Caenorhabditis elegans: one gene and its partners. The protein of the gene in region 2 interacts with the protein of the main gene of each other region in a pairwise test. Each region holds a gene or a part of one and is shown on either strand. Other genes may lie near its edges. The genes, in order: tsct-1, dyla-1 and D1037.1.

The links.
Region 1: the proteins of dyla-1 (region 2) and tsct-1 interact in a two-hybrid assay, tested with the Caenorhabditis elegans proteins (one large-scale study listed by BioGRID).
Region 3: the proteins of dyla-1 (region 2) and D1037.1 interact in a two-hybrid assay, tested with the Caenorhabditis elegans proteins (one large-scale study listed by BioGRID).

Annotation. Positions count from the first base shown.
Region 1 is NC_003284.9:12,431,089-12,438,524, reverse strand, and holds the start of tsct-1 (Protein tsct-1), read right to left. Parts: upstream 4,429-7,436; 5' UTR 4,372-4,428; coding exon 4,354-4,371; intron 1,889-4,353; exon of another isoform or gene 1,822-1,888; intron 1,067-1,821; coding exon 883-1,066; intron 664-882; coding exon 495-663; intron 1-494. Other genes in the region: med-1 (GATA-type domain-containing protein), read right to left, coding at 7,392-7,436.
Region 2 is NC_003284.9:16,837,731-16,844,429, reverse strand, and holds dyla-1 (DYnein Light chain, Axonemal p28 type), read right to left. Parts: upstream 3,393-6,699; 5' UTR 3,326-3,392; coding exon 3,227-3,325; intron 2,831-3,226; coding exon 2,700-2,830; intron 2,623-2,699; coding exon 2,553-2,622; intron 2,415-2,552; coding exon 2,315-2,414; intron 2,208-2,314; coding exon 2,082-2,207; intron 1,961-2,081; coding exon 1,866-1,960; intron 1,750-1,865; coding exon 1,627-1,749; intron 1,584-1,626; coding exon 1,512-1,583; 3' UTR 1,457-1,511; downstream 1-1,456. Other genes in the region: F41G4.8 (uncharacterized protein), read left to right, coding at 1-206, 283-375, 676-753, 804-1,001.
Region 3 is NC_003279.8:3,682,241-3,692,623, reverse strand, and holds D1037.1 (Protein SON), read right to left. Parts: upstream 7,844-10,383; 5' UTR 7,823-7,843; coding exon 7,736-7,822; intron 7,661-7,735; coding exon 7,377-7,660; intron 7,322-7,376; coding exon 6,911-7,321; intron 6,835-6,910; coding exon 6,548-6,834; intron 6,119-6,547; coding exon 5,970-6,118; intron 5,348-5,969; coding exon 5,111-5,347; intron 4,953-5,110; coding exon 4,862-4,952; intron 4,809-4,861; coding exon 4,597-4,808; intron 4,172-4,596; coding exon 4,049-4,171; intron 3,109-4,048; coding exon 2,880-3,108; intron 2,828-2,879; coding exon 2,577-2,827; 3' UTR 2,444-2,576; coding exon of another isoform or gene 2,327-2,443; 3' UTR 2,277-2,326; downstream 1-2,276. Other genes in the region: ipla-4 (phospholipase A2), read left to right, coding at 1-250, 790-1,111, 1,156-1,399, 1,599-1,679, 1,734-1,807, 2,117-2,270, 2,327-2,443; rab-8 (Ras-related protein Rab-8A), read left to right, coding at 8,565-8,594, 8,642-8,796, 8,844-8,904, 8,964-9,353.

The DNA of each region.
Region 1 (7,436 bases), 4.4 Mb from region 2:
TTACGCTTACTTACATGAACATAACTGCAAAGGTAATCGGAAGAAATCGATATGACAGGAGGATAATACGGAGCGATTTGAAGAATGGGTAATTGCGTTTTTGACGTGTTTTTAAGGTCAATGTGTCTGATAGGGTATTTGAGAAGTAATGTGTTTACGACAAGGTGAAAAAGTAATAAAACCCCTTCAGTTTATTTCACTTCAAAGAAAAGAGAATTTCACTTTAAAAATCAGTGTTGCGAAAATAATAAAAATTCTAAATGCCTTTTAGTTACGCAAAAAAAGAAACGAAAGCAAAGAGTTCGTCTGAAACTCGATATTTTTTGGGTATTATTTTTTACTTGAAAGCCGCCCGCTTTTCAACGCCTTGCCAATTCTCCAGAGACTTTTCTAGCCACCTTTCAAAGTCTACTGACGCGCGCGCGCATTATCTCACGTGATTGCTTTGGATATTAAGATTTTAAATCTGGGTTTATTTATGTGAGATCACTCACCGCGGCTGACTTTTTTGTAGCACACGAATGCTGTCCGCCTCTTCTGCTCCGAGAATTGGAGCAGAGGTGACTGTTGTCGGCCGAGGGAATTTCTTTCGGACGGTGATCACATTGTTTTTGCTTGTTACGATCATCTTGTACTCGTCTTCTGGAGGATAATTTCCAAATTCTGAAAAAAATAAATTGTGTTTATTGTCCAGTTTATTTTTTTTTAATCAATAATTTTGAAAAAAGATTTTCACTGGTACTTCAACAACCTCAAACATTTTTTTAAAAACACGTACTAAAACACGTACTTCTATGCTCGGAATTTTGAACTGGTATCTAATAAATTTATTGATTTTCTTCTAAATTGATAAATTATTCGTTTTCAAGTAGTTAAACTAACCTCCCATTGCCGACCCAAATCTGGTATCAATCACTTTCCATCTGCCACGTGTAAACTCTCCTGGAACCGGAACAACTTGGAATTTCTTCTTCGGCTTGTCACAGTTTGCATTTGGAGGAACGACCTCAATCACAGATGCTTCATTGGAAGTAGTACTCATTATTATTGTGTTCTGTTGGAAAGCCTGAAAAGTTGAAAAAATAAGTAATAAATAGACAATAAAACATTTTAGCATTTTAGAAGTAGTGTATAAAACAAGAAAATCTGTACTTTCACAAACAAGAATTAAAATATACATTTGTTCTACTAAAGATAAATTGAAACTTTTAGATTTTTGGTAAAATTATGATGACTTATAACAGATTCAAATACTTTTTTTCAATTAACAGTAAGATTAACGGTTTTTAGTCGTTTGGACACATAGTTAATCAAGAAAAATTTGCATATATTTGAAAAGCGTATAATTACATCTTTGTACACATCGTTTAACTAATGCCATTAGAACCTATGAAATTAAAAAAAGTTGATGACTAATTAGCAAAATTTGATAACATTTTTGCGCCGTGGACAAGACAGATATGAACAAAAGTTACAACGATTTGACCAAAATAGATTTGAATTAATGTATTTTGGGAAACAAAACGTACGACATTTTTATATTAAAAAAAACATCTTTCGCCTTTAATTTGGTTAGGTGAGCAAATTAAAAATTGTTTTGAAGAAAAATGGCAAAGATAAGTTTCAAAAAATATGCTGGATTTTTTATCGCATTAAAAATCACAATCGTTGACTGATTACACTCAAGAACCCTTATTCGAAATTTCTGTTTCAAATTTGAACAAAAAACGAAAAGATAAATTGGTCGCAACATGCAGCAAATGATTGATGAACTGCTGTGGGAGACATGAATTGACACGTAATTTCAATTTTCTCGAAAAAGTGCTCGCGGTGCTGAGGAACAGCTGTACTTGCTCAAGTGTGATGGCAAGTGTGTCAAGTAAATAGACACGACGGCGCAACTTTTGGCACGGAAACTTTGGAGTTTTTTTTCTGTTTTTTTGTGTTACTTTGTCATCTGAGTAAACCCATGAGACTTTGTTTTTTTTTCAGGAAAGAAAGGAACGCTTAGTTTCTCTCTCTCTCTAAATGGTGCAGACAGTTATTGAATCATATTTTTTTAATAGTTTGAGAACGCTGTAATTGGAAAAGGAATTTATGAAAGTTTGAAGTACATCAAGGACAACTAACAACAGTTCAAGAAAGCCCAATAACTTTATGAAAGCACAGTGCAAAATCTGCAAGAACTTTTGTGACGACATATTTTCTTAACTTAAAAAAGCATTTATTTTTCAAGTTTTCCGCTTTGTGAAAAATTGTTGAAAACTGTTTTTTTTAATTTCAATGGCAGTGCTTTTTCTACTAGTTTGGAAGGAAAAAAAGAGAAAGCCAATTTTCGTAACTAGAAAAATGAAAAACTTGGTAGCTTTTCATACCTTTTTTCAAATTCTTAGAGCTTAAAACTCAAGTCTTACAAATAATCCTACATAAACCTTTGCCAAAAAAGCTAACGTTCAATGAATATGCAACAAGAAGTCAGCTTTTTGCAAGAAGAAAAAAAAATAGATGAGCTAAGAAAAACGCGTATTTTCTCTAACAAAGCCACCTAGACATGGCGCAATAACGTCTATTTCAGATACAAATAATACGAGATTATGACTGTGACATTCCAGTGAATTGTAAGATTTCTGAGATTATATTTGAAGTCATTGTCAAAAAGAAAAATATATAATTCTTCTGAATTATTATTTCAGAGAGAAAGATTTTGAGGGAGTTTTAAACAAGACACTGCGATTTCTCGTTTTCAGTCACTAGAAATGTCACAGTTTATAAGAGCAAAATAGAAAACGAATGAAAAATTGAATGCTGTACATTTCTCTTGCTCTATACTGGCTGCTACCCCACTTTTTCAATCACACTGTACGCTTCTCTGTGTGCCCAGACAAAACCATTGAAAACTACTGCTCTGCATAGCCCGCAAAGCAGGAAAGCTATTTTTCAATCGCAAATAAAACGAAAAAAGCGCATGGGAGCGCGAGATAGAATGCAATCTTTTTTTGAAACTTCGATTCTGTAGTAATTATGCAAGTTGTGGTTGCAACAATGGTGCTCACAAAAGAGTTGCGAAGAGTAAATATGAAAAGGGCACATGAATAGCGATCAAATCAAATGACGAACTGATAAAAAAGATAATATGTAGTTGTCATGTGTACTCTTGAGCGAACGTGCAAAAGAAAATTGGACACATAACATTCTGAACTGGAGTTTGAAGGCGGAGAAGATCCAAAAAGGAAATTGTTTTTGAACAAATTAGCTTTGAAGCTTTCTCTATTATTCTTGCATGCAAGACTAATTTTCAATTGGTCCGTAGGGATGTAAGACTAGGCCTGTGGAGTGGGTCGCCCCATTTTTTGGGTCGGTCGGGTCGGGGTAGGAGTCGGAAATTCTAATATCATGAGAGTGGTTTTGTATCATTTGGCTCTATATGCTCTCCTCATTTTTCAAACAGAAGTTCAATTTAAATGTTACGCTTGGAAAAGAGCAGCACACCACACTTTTGGCTCATTGTTGATTGGTGTTTTTCATCGCGTAAAAACTGGAAATTTAATTGAATACTTTTGGCACTCGTATTCGGAGGGTCTCATTGACCTTTAACTTTGTTTTCTGCAAAAGTCTCACAATGTAGGTGTTTCAAATTACGTTGCATTTGATTTTTTAACGACATGAAAAAATTTCAAGATTATACTTGAAATTTATGTGTTCAAAAATGTTACTAGAATAAATTATTTTCAATTTTTGAAAGAAAATGTTCCACATTCTTTATACATATCTTTGTACATATGGCAACTAAACGTTTGCGAAATTCCTAACATTGAACAAGACAAATTATTTTCAAATTAAATTGATATGCTGTTGAAGGAAAAATACGTAAAAATAAGAAATTCTAATTTTAGTTATTGTTTATTCTTATATTTTATGAACGCAAAAAGCACTTGATTAAACAACAGAAATCAAAAAGTTAAAAAGAAAAGTTGCTGTTCAGACTGACGGGGGTACGGATAATTCATGCAAATCGGTGTCATTCTAAAAATCGATATGTGGAATTGAATCAGAAAGGAAATCGTCGAAAAAATTACAGTTGACTCACGATTTCTGTATTTTAGAGTTTGTTTCGCGGCAGTCACGCGTTTTACATTGGCGACGGTGAAGAAGCAAAACGAAAGGACAACAAAATTGCGTAGAGTTTCTCTTTCTCAACCAACCATCAAAAACGTTTAGATTTGGAAAACGTGCTGGAGATAAACAAAACACATACATAAACACGAGGTCATTGACAACGAAGAGCCGGTTGTTTGATCAGGCAGATCATAAGGAGACAAGGTCATGTGGTTTATCTTAAAAATGAACACTTACTGCGGCAAAGATGAACATTCTCAGTGACAGGATCCCTTGCTGCGGTCTCTTTTAGCTGTAACTACCCTGAAACTTTAAGTTATTTGTATCTTGTAAAACCAACGTTATTGACAATAGAGAGCAAAAAAAGTTGTGAAGATATAAACGCAAACCATAAGAAGGAGTAACGGTTCTGCTTTTTATTTGAGTAAAAAATTTTAAAAATTGAGGTTCCGCAGGAATCTTAAATTTAGGCCACTTGTCCGCGGAGCGACTGGAAAAAATATTATTATTTAATCACAACCTCATTTTGAAATTTTGTGTCGTTTATGAAAAATTCGCTAGTTTAATCTCAATTTCTACAACAGGGTAAAGTTGATAAAATTTTAGAATTTTGCTATATTGAGTATTTTTTTGTTAAACTTTTCAACCGTTAAAAAGAAAAAGAAAAAACACTTTTGTGAAATTTTCAAGAAGTTTCATCCTGAGAACAAATTTGCAAAGTTGAATGCAAAATTTGATTTTTTTTATCACTTTTAAACTTGCGTTGAACTTACGTGAAACTATCTTATATTAATGATTGATTGGTAAATTCACAAAAATTATGCCCCATGTTACAGATCTTGTGAAAATTAATTAATGTGTGAACACATATTTTTAAAGTTCAAGAAGTTTTTTAATTGAAATTGTGAACAAAACCACGTGATGCATTTGCGGACGCACAGAGAAATTTGATATTCACTAGGAACATTAAGTATGTTTATTTTTTCGTTTTTTTGTATGTTTTAAATATTCGCAACAAAAATTTCAATTGTTTTAATTATAACATTTATGATATTTGCAAAGTATTTCATCTGATTAAGAGTAAAAATAATTTCTGTTATTTTCAAATATCATAAATAAGAAAATAAATGAGAATGGCAAGATGAAATATGAGGAAAAACGGGTTTGTTGTAACATAAATAATGCTCATCGCACATGTGCAAATACATAAAATACGTAAACGATGAGATAAAAAAATTGAATTTCTCGAACGTCTCTATGTGTATCTAATCCGATAAACACTAGTTTTAGGGAGTTATGAGGATGTTTTTCGTCTTGTTTTCTATTTTATTTTTAAAGATTTTATTTTTAATTATAATTTTAAAGAATGTCAAAGTGTAGAAAAACCCAATCAACAAATGAGCAGAAAAATTAAATGAGCACTCAATGTCCTTTTTTGGAAGAGAGCAGATGGTAGTTAAAAGCTAAAAAGACGCGGAACCCTTTTTTTCAAATGTGTTCCTCTGTGACGGCTGGCTTTTATGGGTTGAATGAAAGAATGATGGTGTTAGGGTACCACCCGACACAAAACAAAACAGAGCTGTTCTGCAAGATCAAAATGACGTTTTTTCAAAAATATATGCCAATTTTCTTAAAACTAAAAAAGAACAAAACTGATACAAGAATTGAAATTCCCAATGGGGTAAAATTCGAATGGGATGAGAAGAGGAAATGGGCGGAGGAAGGGGGCAAAAACGTTAATGAAATTTTGTTTCAAAGTTTTGTTTGCCCAAGGCTATTTTCTACTTTTTACATTACTTCAAAAATTGTAATTTCAAAACAAAAGTGGACTGGAAAAAATTAAAAAATAAAAATATTCCAATGGCTGCGCTGCAAACAAACAATTGGATGCTTCCAGATTTTCCAAATTTGCTGAAAACAGAATCGACAGGTATTTTGGGCAAATCTTCCTGCACAAATTGGGAATTTAACCTTGGAGCTCAGAGAAAAATGATCTACATGCAAATGTATCTATATATATTATATATATATATATATATATCTAGAGAATTTATCAAAGTATTAATTTGGCAATGTTGAAAATAGGTAGAGAAAAATCACAATCCCAACTATTTTTTTTCGAATATGGGTGTAATTGTTCTTGGTATATATTGAATAACGTTTTACACTTTACAAGTACTATCTCTTACATAAAAAATAAAGGGGAAAATGATTAAGCTACATCAAAAGTTCGAGAAAAAGTAACTAGTGTAACAAGTACGGGCTGTGCAACAAATTATTCGAAAAAAACTGCATTCAACTAAACATATTCGATATTTATACATCACTTTAACAACTTCCTGTCTGTCCTCCAGATTATCTTACTTTGAAGAAAAAAGAGCAGCAGTCTACTAAAACAAAGCGAATGTTAAATAATTGAAAACTGTGTCACACTTCACTCAATGATTCGTGTTCCTTGTATGACACTTTTTATGGGGTAAAGTTTTTGTGATGAACACAGCATGACAAATAACAGATGTATGTACCATGTAGCCAATCCTATAGAAAGCAGACAGAAGGCCAAATGGAAACTAGGGTGACTAGAGAAGGTGTTATAACTTTATGCGAAACAATGAATCAGAATTCAGTGACGAGTGCAAACCAACTGATTTAATATTCTATTTTTGGGTTGATTGTGACAATAAACACGGAAAAATTGGAGAGAAATTTTAAAAATAGTAAGCATCATTTTCCGACTCAGAATGCAACATTTCTAGTGGGTGACAATCGCATGGTCACAGTACACATCACAGAAAAATTTAAATCTAAATTATTGAAAAACAAACATCTAATACAAGAATTATAGTGCAGCTCAAAAAGTTCTTCGAAAAACAAAACTCACTAGAAAAGTGAAACCTTTCAAAGCAATGACTGAAGAACACATTTCGGCCCTTTTTGTCTCGCTCTCCCGTCCACAATTTTTTTCTGCAAAAGTTTGGTTTCCGCTGTCGGATTCTCTAAATCCTAAGCATATATAAAGCTGTTCTGGCTGACGAGATTGAAAAAAATGAACAGCGCTGTTGGGAAAACAAAGAACAAAAGTTCAAAACGATACAGGGTTTGTTAATTTTAAATTTATTCCTCTATAAATCTTGAGTTATGATGTAATTAAAATCGAGAACAAGAATTAAATATAAATGTATTAGTTATGAAATCATATTAATTAAAAACATTTTACCGGTTTAAAACAATAAAATTACAATTGAGTTATACAATTTACAATGATGTAATTTACATTAAAATGAATCTACACCATTCGTTTCCTGTACCTTTAATTTTCT
Region 2 (6,699 bases):
ACCAACTCACTGCAAATGCAAAGGAACATGTCGACGAAGACGAGATTCTAACTCTAGACGCTTCGGTCCCAGACTATGCAAGACAGGTTTTCACTACACAGGTTCTGAGCACGGATGGGCTAAGTCAAGAAACTCTGCAAAACTCGACGGAAAAGTTCATGACAGTTGTGTACTTTGCATTTCGACCTTTTGGTTGTGATCAGGACGTGAGTTTTTTTGTTAGACACAAAAGAATCAAAAAGACGGAGCAAAAAAAAGCAATACATTAATCCTAACTTTCAGAACATCTGGCCAAGTGTTTACAATTTGACACGAGACAACCTCGACTGCCTGGCTTTCACATTGTTGCAAAGAATTTATGACAAATCAGAGTTTGTAAGTCACGGGAACAGGCATATGACACCTTCATGTGTTCTGTTGCGATGTGTTTTGAACTGGGTACAAGTTTCGGGTACTTCTAGGATTTCCACAGTTGAGTTGCTATGGAATGATAAAGCACACATCGTATCTGCTCTCGACAATCAGTCCTTTGTGCTCATTTTAGTCAGAAAAGTTAAACATTTTAGCCAAACACAAATATAATAGTATTTTTCATTTAATATTATATTTTAAACTTGATATTTTCAAATACCGAAAACCTTTTTTTTTCGTTGAAAGAAAACACTAATTTTACAGACAAGGAAGTACTTCGCACGAGCTATTCATTTTGGTCTTACCAGTACGGCTCCAATGAATCACAGAATTCATGAAATGGTATGCTCTGCATTTGAAAATCTCTACACAATCAAAACTCATATTTTCAGATGGTCTACCAATATCTCCTACCAACTCTTGACCGAGTATGGTTCAATAGCATGAAAATCCAATTTAAAAACAGTTTTTGGAATGAACAAGAGTATTCAAGAAAATCGACCTACGAAGATAACAGTTTTCTTTGTGGATCTTTCCCATTTTCAGATGAAGTCCAGGAGAAAATCAACTACTATTTTAACTCACGATAAAACAAAAAGCTTTTTGAAATTGTTATTCTCAATTTTTATTCATATATTTTTGAAAATAAATCACTTCCTGTAGTATTCTGGTGTATTTTGAATAATTGTGGTTTTCCTCAATTTAACAAATTACAAATAACAAAATTAAATACTGAAATACTTTGATGCTGAACTTCACTTCTCTGATTGTTAACATGATCTGAAATTAAAAAAAAAACGCTAACGGGCTTCCATGCAGACGCCAAAACGCCTGCCGCGCCTGTCTCGCGCCGCGAGCCACGCTTTTTGTTTAGTGCGGCGCAAAACCCGGAAAGGGTCGGGCGCGGTCAAAGAGGCGTGAGGCGGGCAGGTTGAATACAGGCAACAGGCCCTGCGCAAAAAAAAAGTTTGTATTGTTTGAAAATGTTTCTAATGTAAGGATTTTCTCCAAGATTACAATTTTGTGATACATAGAAATATTGAGTATGTTTTATTAGAATGTATAGTGTTGAAACAAAAATATAATACATTTGAATATGTTTAATGTGCGACTGTTTCTCCGACTTTGACATGTGACATATCATCCATCTGAAGAATCGACTGAAGCTGGTTCTGAAAACTTTGACTTTTGAAATAATTATTTTTCAAGCCTAACTTTGAGAATTCTATTTGACTCTACAAGGCGCTCGTTGGTGTCCTTCATTCGTTGCTCCACAATTTCCAATTCCTCCTCGCTTACAATTTTATCCGTTGCCAATTTTTTCTCCAATTGGGCAATCTGCAACATCCGACATACATTGCTTCTTCCTCCGCTAATTTCCATTTTCTCCCCCCCCCCCCTCCGTTTTTCCCCGATGGGTTTCTATTCATCTGTAGTAATAGTTTTCTTTTCACCTTTAGATGAAGCTCCTTGTTCTTGTCCTTTTGCACTTTCCATTCAGTCGTCGCCCGTGTTTGTTCGTTTTCAATGAACAGCGCTTTTCTGACACCTGAAAATTGAATCAATTCGGTGTGGTTATTGTATTTTTTTAGGCGCTAAGAAGTAGTCAGAATCCACACAAAGTTTTTTTTTTAATATTCTGAAATTGAAAACTATTAATTGTAACTTACCATATGCAATCGCCGACTCTAGTACATTCTGGTAGGCTGCAAAAGTCATTCGAATTTCATCACGAACGCGAACCAATAAAAGACCTCTTTCCACACAGGAGACACTGACTTGACGGATTAGCTCATCTGGAAGCAAAGAAGATTCACACACCTGTCTTTTTGTCAAAGGGCATCATTATGCGCTTGAAAGAAGACAAATGGGTCTTGGATGAATTGAAAAAAGGAACACTGACCGAAAAACTGGCCGTAAAGATCGCGTCGAATTGGGCATATTCCGAATGGTTTTGCTCCCCGGTCTTTTAACTCGCTTTCCAGTTTTTCCTCGAGATTTATCTGAAATTTTTTTGAACGTACTTCTAACATTCGTGTTTATATTTAAAAAAGAGGTTTAAGCATTTGGTTTTAACTATTAACAAGTTACCTTCTAGTTTCACAAATATCTAAATATTTTTCAAATTCACACCAAATTACCATGTCATGTCGCGTAGCAGGATGAAGCGACGCTTGCTGTTTCCATAGTTTTCCGTTTTGTTCGTAAACTCTACAAAATGTGTCTTTCATGATCATAATTCTGTTTTTGTTTTCTGGCTTAAGCTGCCAATTTATCAAATTACCCACCTCGGCGGAAGTATACAATCAAGAATAAGCTGTAGCTGGTGTTCACTTTCAATGTGATCGTCTTCGCCGCTTTCAATGATACTTTCAAACGTGACATTGGTTTCTCCTTCTATTTTTGAAGTTGTTTCCTCCTGAAAATCAGTTTGTCAATTTTTAATTTTTCTTGATGTGACATGTTTGAAGTGAAAATCATAAGCATGTGAATAAATCTGAAATTAACCTCAACCGCATATGATTTTAGCTGTGAGAAAGTAGTGTAGCAAAATTTAAAAGAAAAACAATTAAAAAAAAACAGTCTTTGTGTATTGATTTCGCACAGTAGTTGAACAATTAGATTCAAAACCAAAATGTGTGAAAAAAGCAACAAATTTGGGCTTTTTTTCCAGAACTTTGTTTTGGACCATTTTGGGTCTAAAAACACAAAGTCTCAGATTTTGGTACTCCACTTTTAACTTTATTAGAAATTAATTAAAATTTGGACTTCTATACATTTTTGGACAACATTACTAAAGATAAAATAGACTTACTGCAAGATTAACTTGTAAAAAAATATTAGAAGGAGTCTCAGTTGAGCCGAGAATTGTTGAAGTCAGCGAACTTTCAAATTTTGGTTTTTCCAATGCCATTTTCCGTCAGAGTAATAAAAACGTTTGAAGTTAAAACGCTTTATATTTTATAGAGTTTACCAAATTTTGAAATAAATGCTTTTGTGAAGTCGAACTATTTTCGTATGAAATTCAACGACGTTTGAGCTCTGCCTTTCCTTCGTCTTTCAACAGGATGTTCGCATCAGTTGCATTCATGATTTATTCCTAAAACGCGTTGAACCATGTGGATTGAAAATTGGACTGGTGTAGTTGATCTTATCAGTGAGTTAATTAGCTAAGCATACTACCAAGAAAAAAGTTGTCTTCCAGGTTTTTTTTTACAAATATCCTTACACTGAACAAGTTGAGAGAAAAATTCAAAAATTATTGTCTAAAAAGTGCGCAGCTCGTTCAACATTTTTTGTTGAGTTTCAGATTTCTTGTTTCTATGGCATGTTGGGATGAAATTCCGAGTCGAAAAAACATTTCCAATGATTTAACAAAAAGTTTAACCTTAAATTTTCCAAAAAGTTTAACCTTAAAATTTTGAGGCAACTTAACGGCTCATGAAAGTAGTGAAAAATTCAAACTCAATATATTCTGGAACTGAATTTATTATAAATTTATTCAAAAATTTTAATTTTGTATCAAAAAGTGACCTTGAATACTTTTCCTGGAATTTGGGTTGTATCTTTTTTTTTTTTTTTTTTTTTTTTGTACGTTGTACTTTTTGGTTGTACGTTATGATTTGGTCTTACTGTAATCAGTTGGTTTTCCATAGTCTCAAACTTGTTTGCTTGGTTATAATAACAACTGTAATACACTCATTACAAGTTTAGGTATGGACACTCCAACTCCGGACCCATCGATGCGTGAATCAAATACACCGTCGCCATCTCCGAGCCGCCGACTGCTCCAAACGTGAGTATAATTGTTTATTAGAGCATGTTAGAATGCTAAACAAGAATTCTGGAATAAAGCAATTGGGGGCAAATGAATCGAAAGTGAATGCAGTCTGCGACATGCAAAAGTCATTCCAATGCAACGTTTGCAGCCTGGGAACCTTGAAAATGTTGCGAGAGTGAGAAATGCGCTCAATCATTATCATCTTTTTTCTGTCTTCATATGTCAAACCACTGACACCCGTGGACTTTTTGTTTCGCTAAACAACTCTTTCTTGCTATGATTGTAATGAACAGCTAGCTTGTCTTTTTGACCCGACTCTACACTGCACTCAGACTCCAATCCCACTTCGTAAATTGACTGTTGCCCTCTTCCTATAAATCGCTGCTGGATTCTTGTGGTCACACATGACTGCATTCGAATTCGGAGCTGAGCAATTTGCCTTCAACCAGATCACTGGCGGAAAGGCGGAACTAGCTTCTTTGCCAGTTATTCATTCATTGGAACTTTGAAATTTTTGTTTATTAGAACTAACTAGAGAGCAAATAAATAACAGAACCTCCTTAAAATGAAGGATCTACTGACTGTCACGGGTTTTACGAAAGAACGAAGATGAGTTTTTATTTAAGTTTAAAAGTTTGGTCGATCGAAATTACTACAGAAATTTGAGAAATCCATGTAAAGTACAAACAGTTCTCAAAATGATAATCATAGTATTACTTGCTACTTTTTACCTAGACGGGGTGTAGTACTCATAGTATTTAGCAATTATGGCAATTTTAAATTACCAAAATTTTTGTTTTGCGAGATTTATTTTGTTATTGACCTGTTTTGTTAGCATTGAGACAATCGAGAAAAATTACGATAAATTAAAAAAAATGAAAATGTATCTTTTTTTCTAGGTTTATCTATTTGCCAAATTTTGCAATTATCGAATTCCAAACAACGCAAGCTTTCTATGAGTTTATAGAGCTTTTCTATATTGTCCTGAACATATCAGGAATTTATTGCGTTTTCAGAATTGTTTAATCTTTCCTGAATATTCAAACACTTCTCAAAAGTTTATCAAATTTTCAAAAGTTTCTAGAACTGTTTGAACAGTTGGCAAACTTACCAAACATTTCCTCTAACTTTCGAATTTTACAGAAAATGTTTGGAAAAATCATTCGATTCAAATTCGGTCCCTTTTTTTAAACAAAATGTTGTTGCTTCTTCCGAAACTGATTAAGTTGTTGAAATGTAAATTTTGCCAAAATTTCTAAAGTTTAAAATCTGAAATTTTGAAGGAATGAATAATCAATTGAAAAGTTGCTAACAGTATCAGCAATACATTGAAAAAAAAAACAGAAAAGTTCGTTATGTAATTATCATAAAAGTGGAATGTTGTGACTTGGGCTCCGGAGAGTCGGCGCATCCCAACTTTGCGGATGTATAGTTAATTAATTGGTCAGAATCACCCACGATCCCACAATTAACATCCGCCGCCGAATACTCACAATATCTTCCGTATTCTTCCAAGAACATTCGCTCTAATAATCATTTAATAAACAATTATTATTTGAATTTGCCGCCAAGCAATGCAGGCGCGCTCCACGGACAACAACGGAGTGTCGTAGCGCGCTCTCTTTAGCCATTGCTCACATTAATTATTGGCCTAAATTTGATGATGCAATTATCGTCACTCTCCTCCGATTCTCCCATCGTGTGATGCCGTACTCCTTCTAATTAATTATTATTCGACTCCTGGCTGCCCTGCAGCACATTCTCTACGTTTTTCCTGATCAATAAACAGGTTTTTATTCGTACTAATTGTTCTGTTATATTCACACCGCTCATCCCTCCTCTCGTTCCGTCCGTCGTCTTTTTTGTCACTCCGAGGTTCTGGCTATCTCTCGGATTGGAGTGTCAACATGGTGCACCGAACCGAGTCGGATTGGATCCGATGAACGAACCAAAAAGCCAGCTCGTGACACGGCGGGACCTGAGGAAGCGGCAAGCCAGTCGGAGGAAGAGGTCAGGAGCCTAAGCGTGCAATTACCGCTTGGAAGACGCGCCAGACGCGTGGAGTCGATTCAGGAAACCCTAAGCGTGGCTCAAAACGCTTGGAAGACATGCCAGCCGTGTATAGGAAATCCCAAGCGTGGCTCAAAACGCTTGGAAGACATGCCAGCCGTGTATAGGAAATCCCATGCGTGGCTCAAAACGCTTGGAAGACATGCCAGACGTGTAAAATCTACCACTGAACCCAACTTCATCTACGATGTCATCGGCTGCTCGGAAGATCCAGGAAATCGTGCCCAACAGCTCAATTTATGAAGAAATCCCCGCAAGCTCACTCAACACTCAACTGATGGTCGACAAGCTTCCCAATTGCAGCACGGATTCAGGAATGCGCACCTAGCCGCAGAAAGTGAGTATTTCTTTATAAAAATCTTCGAAGAGCAGTGGCACGGCAGTGGAGCCGATGGATATTCGTCGAAAAAATTTCTTCTGTGAAGAATAAGCCATTC
Region 3 (10,383 bases), on a different chromosome or scaffold from region 2:
AGTCCATCACCGGGTGCGTTTGTAGACGTGGATAGTGAGTACAATAATGTGTTGGCAAGTGAGAAGAAGCAGTGGAAACCTGAAGAACGAGTTCTTTTGGCACTTGACGGAGGCGGAATTCGAGCTGTTATCACGATACAAATGCTCATTCATATTGATTATTTGCTCGGTGGAAAGCTCGTCGAGAAGCTTGATGATATTGCTGGAACCAGTTGTGGAGGTGTTATCACTCTTCTTTTATCAACTAACAGTTGGGTTTGATAGTTTTTAAACTACTGAGATATCGTAGTTTTGATATTTTCTAAAACTCGTACTAGAAGGAACATCGATTTGGGTCTCGCCACGAAAAAAATTTATGGTAGTAGTTATCTTTTTGGCTGTCGCTTTTTACTATTACGGGAAAACTAAAATCCGAGAATGCGTACTATGCAATATATTTGACGAGCAAATATCTCTTAGCGAAAACTACAGTACCTCTTTACTACGAGCTGGTGTCGATTTACGGTAAAATAATTTAAAAAAACGAGAAAGCAAAGACACCAGCGTTACAGTAGTAATGTAAAAAATTACTGTAGTTTTCGCTACGAGATATTTGCTCGTCAAGTATATTGCGCAATACGCATTATCAGAATTTAGTGTCTCCGTAATAATTAAACTTTGTTAACTTTTTATCGCGGCGAGACCCATCCGAAAGCGCCTTTGAGTACGAGTTTCAGAAAACTTGGAAGGCAATAAGGCTACTGTGCCTTTTTGCCTACGTGCCTACATATCACCTTATTTTAAATTCAGATCGAAACATTGAAGAAACCCGAAAGCTACTTCTAGATATGCGTGATCGAGTTTTCATCCGTGGAGCTGACAAAGCCGTTCCAAAATATAGTTCAAACGGTATGGAGTACATCGCCCGCCACGTCACAACTTGGGAAGATTCGAAAATGTCGAGTATCAAAAGACACCGAGCAATTGTTACTGTAGCTGATACTCGAATGGTTCCACCTCAACTTCTCCTCTTCCGATCCTATCGTCCAGAAATGCCAGAGGAAGCGTGTGAACACTATAAGTTCCTGGATCCAACGAAGGTTGAGCTGTGGAAGACTCTGAGATGCACAACGTACGACTCTAGTTTTTTTTGAAATATAAAAAAAAAATTTTCAGCGCGGCTCCATACTTCTTCGAGTCATTCAATGGGCTTTCTGATGGTGGTTTGATTGCGAACAATCCGACGCTTGCACTGATCTCTGATTTCTTCCTCACGAATAAACTTGAAAAATCGTTTGCGAAAAGCTCATCTGAACGAGAAAACCGTGGAAACTGGAAGATTGGATGTGTCATTTCACTTGGAACAGGAGTATTTCCAACGGAAAAGATTGATGGAATCGATTTGATTGTGGCGCATGCGGTTAGTACGCCCTTTTACACGTCCTTTTACGAGAAATTTGCAAGAGCGCCGCACATTTTTTTTTCAGCTGGTTTTAAATTAAATTTAAAACATAATAGTTGACGAACTTTGGAAAAAAAATCTAAAATGTCAAAATAACAAAGTTGAAGAGTTAAAGACCGATACTTTTTTAATGGGAAATTGTATTACTTTTTTTCAGAAAAACCCGATCCAATTTGCCAAATCTTGCTATAAAGCATTTGCAAGCACTCGGAATTTGTTGCATGTTCTTGTGAAAGAGGTTTGAATTCAAATTTTGGATTTATAATGTATATTTCCTAATTATTAATTTCAGTGTACTGCTTCGAATGGTCAGCCAGTGAGATATGCAAGAGAATGGTGTCATTCGATCAACGCACCTTATTTTAGGTATTACCAAATTTTGCGATTTCTGAACAAAAAATGCAGTGCCAGGTCTCGAAACGAAAATTTTTGTTTAATGAAAAAAAAAAGGTGTGCGCCTTTAAAGAGTACTGTAATTTCATTTTGGAAATTTCATTGATTTTTTAAAGTTTTAAATAAAATAATGTTGGAAGGAAGGAAATCAATGAAATTTCCAAAATAAATTACAGTAATCTTAAAAGGTGCACACCGTTTTACATCTGAAAAATTTGTCGTGTCGAGACCCGGCACCGTTCTTCTGGTCTAAAAATCACAAAATGGATAATATAATTTAAGATTCTCGCCTCACTTGTCGCAAGGCATTTCTCTGGATGAAATTGATTTGGAAAAGGTGATGCAAGTGATGTGGGAGACTGAACAATACGTGGCTTCACATAGGCCTCAGTTTGTGAAGCTTGTCAATTACCTGGCAACCAAACCGAAGAGAGAGGTATTAAAAATAACTATTTTTACTATGTTCAATGATTTTTTAAAAATGAATTTTAGGGTTTTGAAAATCTTGAAACATCGCAGGATTCGGAAACATTGGAGAAATCGATTTCTGAAGCTTCTGAGACGACGACGACACGTACGACTACAACAACAACTACGGCGGGAATTTGAGATTCTTTGATTTGACAATAAATTTGAATGACTGGGGATACTTTAATTTTTAGAATTAATTGATTGTTATTAGACAATTGAAAAGACGAGAAAACACAACAATGATGATGAACTGATGAATTGAGATTATATTCTACATGTAAACTGGGAGATTCGGATCCATTGGAAGTACGCCTAGCGACTGAAGAGCCACCTGAGCAGCGACGGCTTTTCCTTCCTTCTTTTGCTTTGAGCCACACATTGGACGGTATTCTACATCATTGATGACTATAGTCCAGACGAACATCTTCAAGTGATCAGCACCGGATTCTTCACAACTGAATGACGGGGGATTCCAGCGACGTTTAGCGCAAAGTTCCATTATTAGGGAGATTGGATTTTTGTCTGAAAATATAAAAAAAATTTGAAAAGATTTTGAGTTTTGAAAAAAACCAACTCGATAAATCAACTGGAACATTATTCTGTGCATTTATCTTATTTCTCTGCTTGATGCTCATCTCCTCCTCAGCGATTAATCCTTTTCGATCACTCTTCACATCAAGCATCAGCGGCTCCAAATTTCCAGTCGCATCCTTTCCCAGACCCTCTCCAGGACGCCATCCCATCTTTTCCAGCATCAATCTTCCGATTCCGCCGGTCGCTGGTGCAGCATTTCTGAATTGGTCCTGAAAAGGAAAGATTATGAAATTTTTAAATTAATTTGGGAACTAATGGAGTTGCTATTCGAAAAAATAAAAATACAAGGAAAAAGTCGCTGCAGAACTGATTTCTGGTCCTTTCAAAAAAAAAAAAAGGAAAGAAATCAGTTTTACATGCGACTTACGACTTCTCTAGGAGACTGCAGCTGACGTTATGAATCGATTGATGGTTCCGAAGGTGTAGGAGGGATTGATGATGATGTAGATAGAAATCGACACATTCTGCTTTAGGTATATTACTCATACGCGAAATTTTACGATTTTTGCGTTAGGTCTCGCCACGACAAAATTTTGTTAATTTCGAAAAGGCATGCGCCTTTAAGGAGTACTGTAATTTCACTTTTTGGGGGTTTTTTTTTTGATTTTCAGCAGTTTTTCTACCGTTCATTTCTATGAAAACTGCGAAAACCAACGAAATTTCCAAAATTGAAATTACAGTAATCCACGACAAATTTTTGTTAGATGTACAAATGTGTGTGCCTTTAAAGAGTACTGTAGTTTCAAAATTTCGTTGCCGTGGAATTTTCTAGATTTTGCATAGTTTTTCGATTAAAAAATCGTAAAGAAAACAATAAAAATTCGATGAAAATTCCGCAGTTTAAAATTACAGTACTCCTTAAAGGCACATACCCATTTGAAATCAACAAAAATTTGTCGTAGCGAGACCAGGTACCGTATTTTTGGCCCAAAAATCGTGAAATTTCGCGTCTGGGCAATATTAGTTACGAGAATTCTGGATTCAATTTTCTATTTAGCTCTCAGAATTTTCGTAACCGAAATTCTTCAAAATTGTGAAAAAAGCGGCAATTTCAAAAACAAAAATTGCCACATTTTTCACAAAATGAAAATCGGCAGAATGTGCCGATTTTTGAGATAATTTAATACAATTTTCCGAGACCACACATACCTTTTTCACCCATGCGTGATATTTTGGATTTTGAGGCTGTAGCTCGTCTGCAGTCAGAAGCCTTAGGCCAGTTGTACCGGTGTACTCTCCAGGAAGACTTTTTAGCGCTGCCCAGAGACTGATCTTAAAATTTGGAATTTTTGAAAAACTTAATTTTTTTTTATTTTAAAGGTTTTTTGTTTAAAAACTGTTTAAATTTATTTTTCCAGACGCGAAAATGTGTGTTATTTTTGATCTAACTATAAGAATACGGTAACTGGTCTCGACACGACATTTTTTTATTCAATGCAAAGTACTGTAATTTCGGCCTTTTCTAGTTTTTCGAAATTTTTATAGATTTTTCATTGTTTTTCGATAAAAAATCGTGAGGAAAACTATCGAAAATCAATTTTTTCGATATCTGTAGCTACACAATTTTGAAGTTACAGTACTCTTTAAAGGCGCACACCATTTCTCAACAAACAAAAATTGTCGTAACGAGACTGGGACTCAGAAATCGCAACATTTCACGGCTGGATAATATTCTCCGACTATTTTTCCAGCTTTACCTGTTCGTTGGCTTCACGTAGTGCTCGATGAGCATCAAAATCATTGGGAGTCGACAAAACTTTTCGTTGTGCTTCTGTTCGTTGTTTCAGTACTTTTCCAATATCACTGGGAGCTGGTATCGGGATATCTTTTGGTTCTTTCAAAATCATTTGATCCTTATTCGGAACATAAAGAACAGAAGGTAGCGGAGGTGGCGTTGGAGGACGGAATGCTGAAAATTTAGATTTTTCAATTGTAAAAAAAAAACTAAAATCTTGAATTTACAATCAGTGGGATTCGGTAGAAACTGGGGAGGCGCCGGCGGTGGTGGCAAGATCGAGTTGAGGAATTTCGGCACGGGTGCTGGGGCGACAGGCTGAAAAATTGACTTTTTTCAGGGGAAAATTGCAAATTTTCGTTTTCCAAAATTTGAAAAAAAAATTTTTTTAATTTTTTATCACCAAAATCAACAAAATTCTGTAAAAATGTATAATTTTCCGAACTTTTTTTTCCTAAATATTTCGATTTTCTTACAATTCCCTGTGCTCTACACCGATCAATTTCAAGACTTGTGAGAGCCACATGCTTCTTCTGCTCAACGGAGCAACTTTTCGGAACATCCTCCTTTTCGACGGGCACCCATTCGGCATTTTCTTTGTGCACAGCACCAGAGGAGACAGGGAAAACAATACGAAGTTGGGCAGCTCCGAGTTGAGTTGGCTCTTCTGGGCCTGTGATCGCTTTTTGAGCTAGATTGGCGGATGTGGCAGTCTGAAAATATTTAATTTTTTTTTTTTTTGGAAAATTTTCGTTTAGAGGTGATTTCGTTCTCAAAATTCACGAAAAAAAAAAAATGAAAAATCCACCTTTAAAACTGTGCTTTTTCAATTTTTTAAAAGAAAAAATAGGGAATTCAACTAAAATTGAAAAATCTCGTTTTAAAAGTTGAATTTTTCATTGTTTCTTGTTTTTTTTCGTTTTTTTTTCTATGCTTTTTCTGAATTTGAGACTTTTTTGAAGATAAACATCTTAATTCACATGCTATTCCGGGGGGACTTTTTTTTGTTGGTATTTTGACGAAAAATTGATTTTTTGGTTTTTTTAGACCATAAATTGTTCACTGTTTCACAGTTTGTAAAAAATAAATTCAAGCATTTTTTTTGAGTTTTTGAAAATTTCAATTTTTTTTGTCTAAATTTTTTTTTGCTTCTATTATACTCAAAATGGCTCCAAAAAGCCGAATTTCATATGGAAACTTTTCAGAAATTTCAAAATTTCGACAAAATAATTTGGTATTTAAAAATAGGATATTTTTGTAGAAATTTTGAACCGTTCTCTGAAAAGTCTCCTAAATTTGGACCAGGGGTGTTGATCATTTTGTCCAGGAACATACAACAATATTAATGCGAATAGGTTCCTTTGGCATAGCATATGGATGCTTGTATCGAACTGTTTCTCTATCACTGTCATGATCACTGACATCGTGTCCAGCTTCTCGACGTTTCTCTCGTTCTTGTCGTCTTTGAAGCTTCTTGCAGTACGCTGGAAATTGATGTTTTTAGTGTTTCTCGCTCAATTATTCCGAGAATAAAAAATTATGAAAATGCGTATCGCGCAACATATTTGACGCGCAAAATATCAGCGAAAACTACAGTAATTCTTTAACTGACTACTGTAGCGATTGTGTCGATTTACGGCAACGACATTCGAAATGTATAAAAGTTTATTTTCGAATATTGACAATGATATTCCATTTTCCTCCGTTTCTTCGTATTATTCTGTTATTTTTTAAAACTGTTTTTCTTAATATTTTATCGATCATTAAATCACATCCGTAAATCGACACAAGCACTACAGTAGTCATTTAAAGAATTACTGTAGCTTTCGCTTCGAGATATTTTGCGCGTCAAATATGTTGTGAAATACGCATTGTCAGAATTTTTATTTTCCCGTAACACGAGTCATACTCACTAACAAAATCCTCAATCGATGCACTATCTCTGTCGCCATTCGACATCATTTCTGCTCTTTTCGTCTTGGCAATCGCCAATAGCTTCTCCTTATCAATGACTTCTCGACTTCGGGATCTTCGTCGTCGGTATGAATCATATTCTTTCCGTTCTCTGGAACGACTTCTCCATCTGGAAGGTCTCTCGGGTCTCTCGTTGCGAGTCTCTGTGGATCTTCTTGATCTTTCCGGAGATCGTCGGCGAGTACGGTGTGTGTCTCTCGAACGAGAACGACGACGGGATTCCTTGCTGAAAGAGATGAATTTCAAGAAAAATTATATATATTCTGTTTTGGTGTTTTTATTTTTTTGGTGGAGTGACTCACCTTGTTCTTCTTCCTCTCCTATCACTGCTTGAATGACTGCGCTTCCGTTTTCTTTCAGTTTTCTCCTTTTTTCGGTTCTTGTCTTTCTCCTTACTTTTTTCATTTTCAGAATTATCCAGATTTCCATTTTCACATATATTTTTATTCTCCAAATTCTTTTCGATTCCTTCTGGTTCTTTAAAATCTCCATCTCCATATGCAATTTCTTCTATTTCTCCATCCTCAACTTCTTTCTTATTCTCGGCTTTTGGCAGAACTGTAGTGATGCTAATAGCCAGCTTTGTCTCTTTTTTCACTAAAGGGGTGCTGAAATCCGCGCCAAGCGGTAGATCATCGGCCTCATCTTTCCTTGGCGGCTCCTTAAATTCTTTCGGTTTGCCATTTTCGGTACTTGGCGCTTGCGGGATTAATCTGTAGTAATTTTTATTAGTTTAAATACTTATTTCGAATTTATTTTCGAACTTACTCATTTTTTGGCGCTTTTTCGAGATTTTTCTTCTCAATTTTTTCTTCCCTATGCTTTAAACGGCTCCTGCTTCTGCTTTTCCTACTCTTTCTGCTTCTTCTCCTCTCCTGACTACGCCCCCGGCTTCTGCTCCGGCTCCGGCTTCGACTTCTTGAACTAGACCAAGTTTTGGATCTTCTTCGAACTTTCTTGCTTTTCTTCGACTTGTGCCTGTGATGCTTCTTCGGCCTTTTCCCAACAAAATCTGTCTGATCGCATCCGGCTAGTTTATCCACTGAGAATGGCTGAAAATAATGATAATTAATTATAATTATATAATTCGATTTGTAAATTTTCCAGTACAATTTAAATTAATTTACTTTTTCCGACGATTTCACATCATTTAAAAGATCTTTAATGATGTCTTCACTGCAAGTTTTCGGGGTAATTCCCTCGCCATCGACCATTCTTGGAACTTTTTGACCTGAAAAAAGGTGATTTTTTGTTTAAAAAAAAGTTTTTCAAATTGCAAAACAAGAGGATACAAACGACGCTCCGTTTTTACGTTTTTACATCGTCATGGCCGTGGCCGCTGCGCGTTTTGTTTTCCTGCTGCACCGATACCACCACCTCGCCCCCTCCCAATAGTTTATTTTTGAAAAAGGCCCGTGACCACGATGTCTTTGTGAGCTGTCTAATCGATTCATTCCCTCAGTGAAAACAAATCTTTTTATTGCGAAATTTCCTCCAAATTTTATTCCTCAACACTCATTTGTCGCTTTCTTTGCGGACATTGTGTGGGAATTACTAATTACATACGTCTTCACATGACCCTTCAATATTGACCAGCTATCCTCAAACCAACTGAGCACACACACACAGCGTGACATCTGTTCATTTCTTTTTTTTTTTCATTTTTTGCGGTCATGAAACTTGGAAAATTCAATTTAAAAGTCTCATTTACTTTTAACTTTCGATTAAAATTGAAAAGAAAATTTAAAAAACAGTAAAACAAAACAAATAAAATTACAGTTTTTAAACAATTTAAAAAAATGAAAGGCTTTTGTACTTTTCGCTCCGGGACCCATCAGTGTCAAAAACTCAATGCACCTTTAATCTCACTTTATTTTAATTGTTTTTCTTCGATTTCGCGTTACTTTTCTATAGTTTTCCTATTTTCAGAGCTTTTCTCTCACTCACTCCAATAAAATGGCAAAAACTTACGACTACTTGTTTAAGGTGAGAACTTTTGCATGCCAAGATGTCAAGAAAACATCGTTTTACAGCTCTTGCTTATTGGAGACAGTGGAGTCGGCAAGACGTGCGTACTGTTCCGGTTCTCAGATGATTCGTTCAATAACTCGTTCATTTCAACAATTGGAATCGACTTCAAAATCCGTACGATTGAGCTCGATGGGAAGAAAATCAAACTTCAAATTTGGTGAGCTAGTTTTTATTAAATCCGATTTTATAAATATTTTTTTTCAGGGACACAGCCGGGCAGGAGAGATTCAGAACTATCACAACGGCTTATTACCGCGGTGCTATGGCATGTTTTATCAAAATTTATTTCACAAAATTTCAAATTTTAATTAATTTATCTTTCAGGGAATCATTCTGGTGTACGATATCACCAACGAGCGATCATTTGAAAACATCAAAAACTGGATTCGCAATATAGAAGAGCATGCGGCTTCGGATGTCGAGAGGATGATCATCGGCAACAAATGTGATATTGAAGAACGCCGTGAAGTGTCGCGGGACCGTGGAGAGCAGCTCGCAATCGAGTACGGCACGAAATTCCTGGAAACGTCGGCGAAGGCCAATCTGAATATTGATGAAGCTTTCTTCACACTGGCTCGTGATATCAAGAGCAAGATGGAGCAGAACGAGATGCGTGCCGGTGGATCAGTTTCGAATACGGGTCGTGTGAACGTCGGTGGATCGGGGACACAGAAGAAGAGCTTCTTCAGCAACTGGAGCTGCAATTTGCTTTAAATTTATTGCTCTCTCGCCATGTTCTGCCCTTTTCGAAGTTGATTGTGATTCAATTCAATTCAACTTCAATAGTGTACCATATCTCTTTTCATATTTTCTTTCCGTTTGAATTTTCTGTTCCAAAAACTCCTCCTTCGCACATTTTTGTATGCAGTACGGTTATAATTCTAAAAATAACCTTTTTTCTTCTCTCTTCTCTTCTGACCATAATAACCAACACTTGCTTTGTTTTTACCATTTTCGTCCCGTCTATTTCTCTGTGTCCGCTCTCTCTCGCATATTCAATTCACCCCCCTACACCCAGCATTCTGATGAGATTTCTTTTCAGGATTTCAGATTTATTTTTTTCGCGAATGTATGAACCAAATTGCATGTTTTCCCAAGTTTTTTGAATTTTCTGAATTTTGATCGAATATTGGGGTTTTGTCGGTCATGCAAATTAAAATTAATTTTTTCTAGAAGTTTTTTACTGAGCTTCTATTTTGCAGAGTCAGATTCATATACCAGCGACATTGAATAGTAGAAAGTACCACAATTTTGAATAGTTAAACACGAAAAACGTTGCAAGTATTACGGAGACGCTAAGTTCTGAGAATGCGTATTGCACAGCATATCTGGCGCGCAAAATATCTCGTAGCGAAAACTACAGTAATTATTTAAATGCCTTCTGAAGTGTCGATTTACGGGCTGGTCTTTCGATACGATTTTTTTTTAAATTGTGACAACAATATTCGATTTTCCTCCAATTTTTCGTTTAAAAAAACTAAAGAAAATTGAATATCGTTGTCACAATTCGAACAAAAATTTGTTTCGAAAATAGAGCCCGTAAATCGACCTACAGTAGTCATTTAAAGAATTACTGTAGTTTTCGCTACGAGATATTTTGCGCGTCAAATATGTTGCGCAATACGCATTCTCAGAATTAAGATATCTGATGTAATTAAAGAAAAAATCTGTCAAGGTTTGAGTTATCATAAATGTCTGCTTGATTAGTTGATCAATGGAAAAACGAAGACAAAAAGAGTAAAAG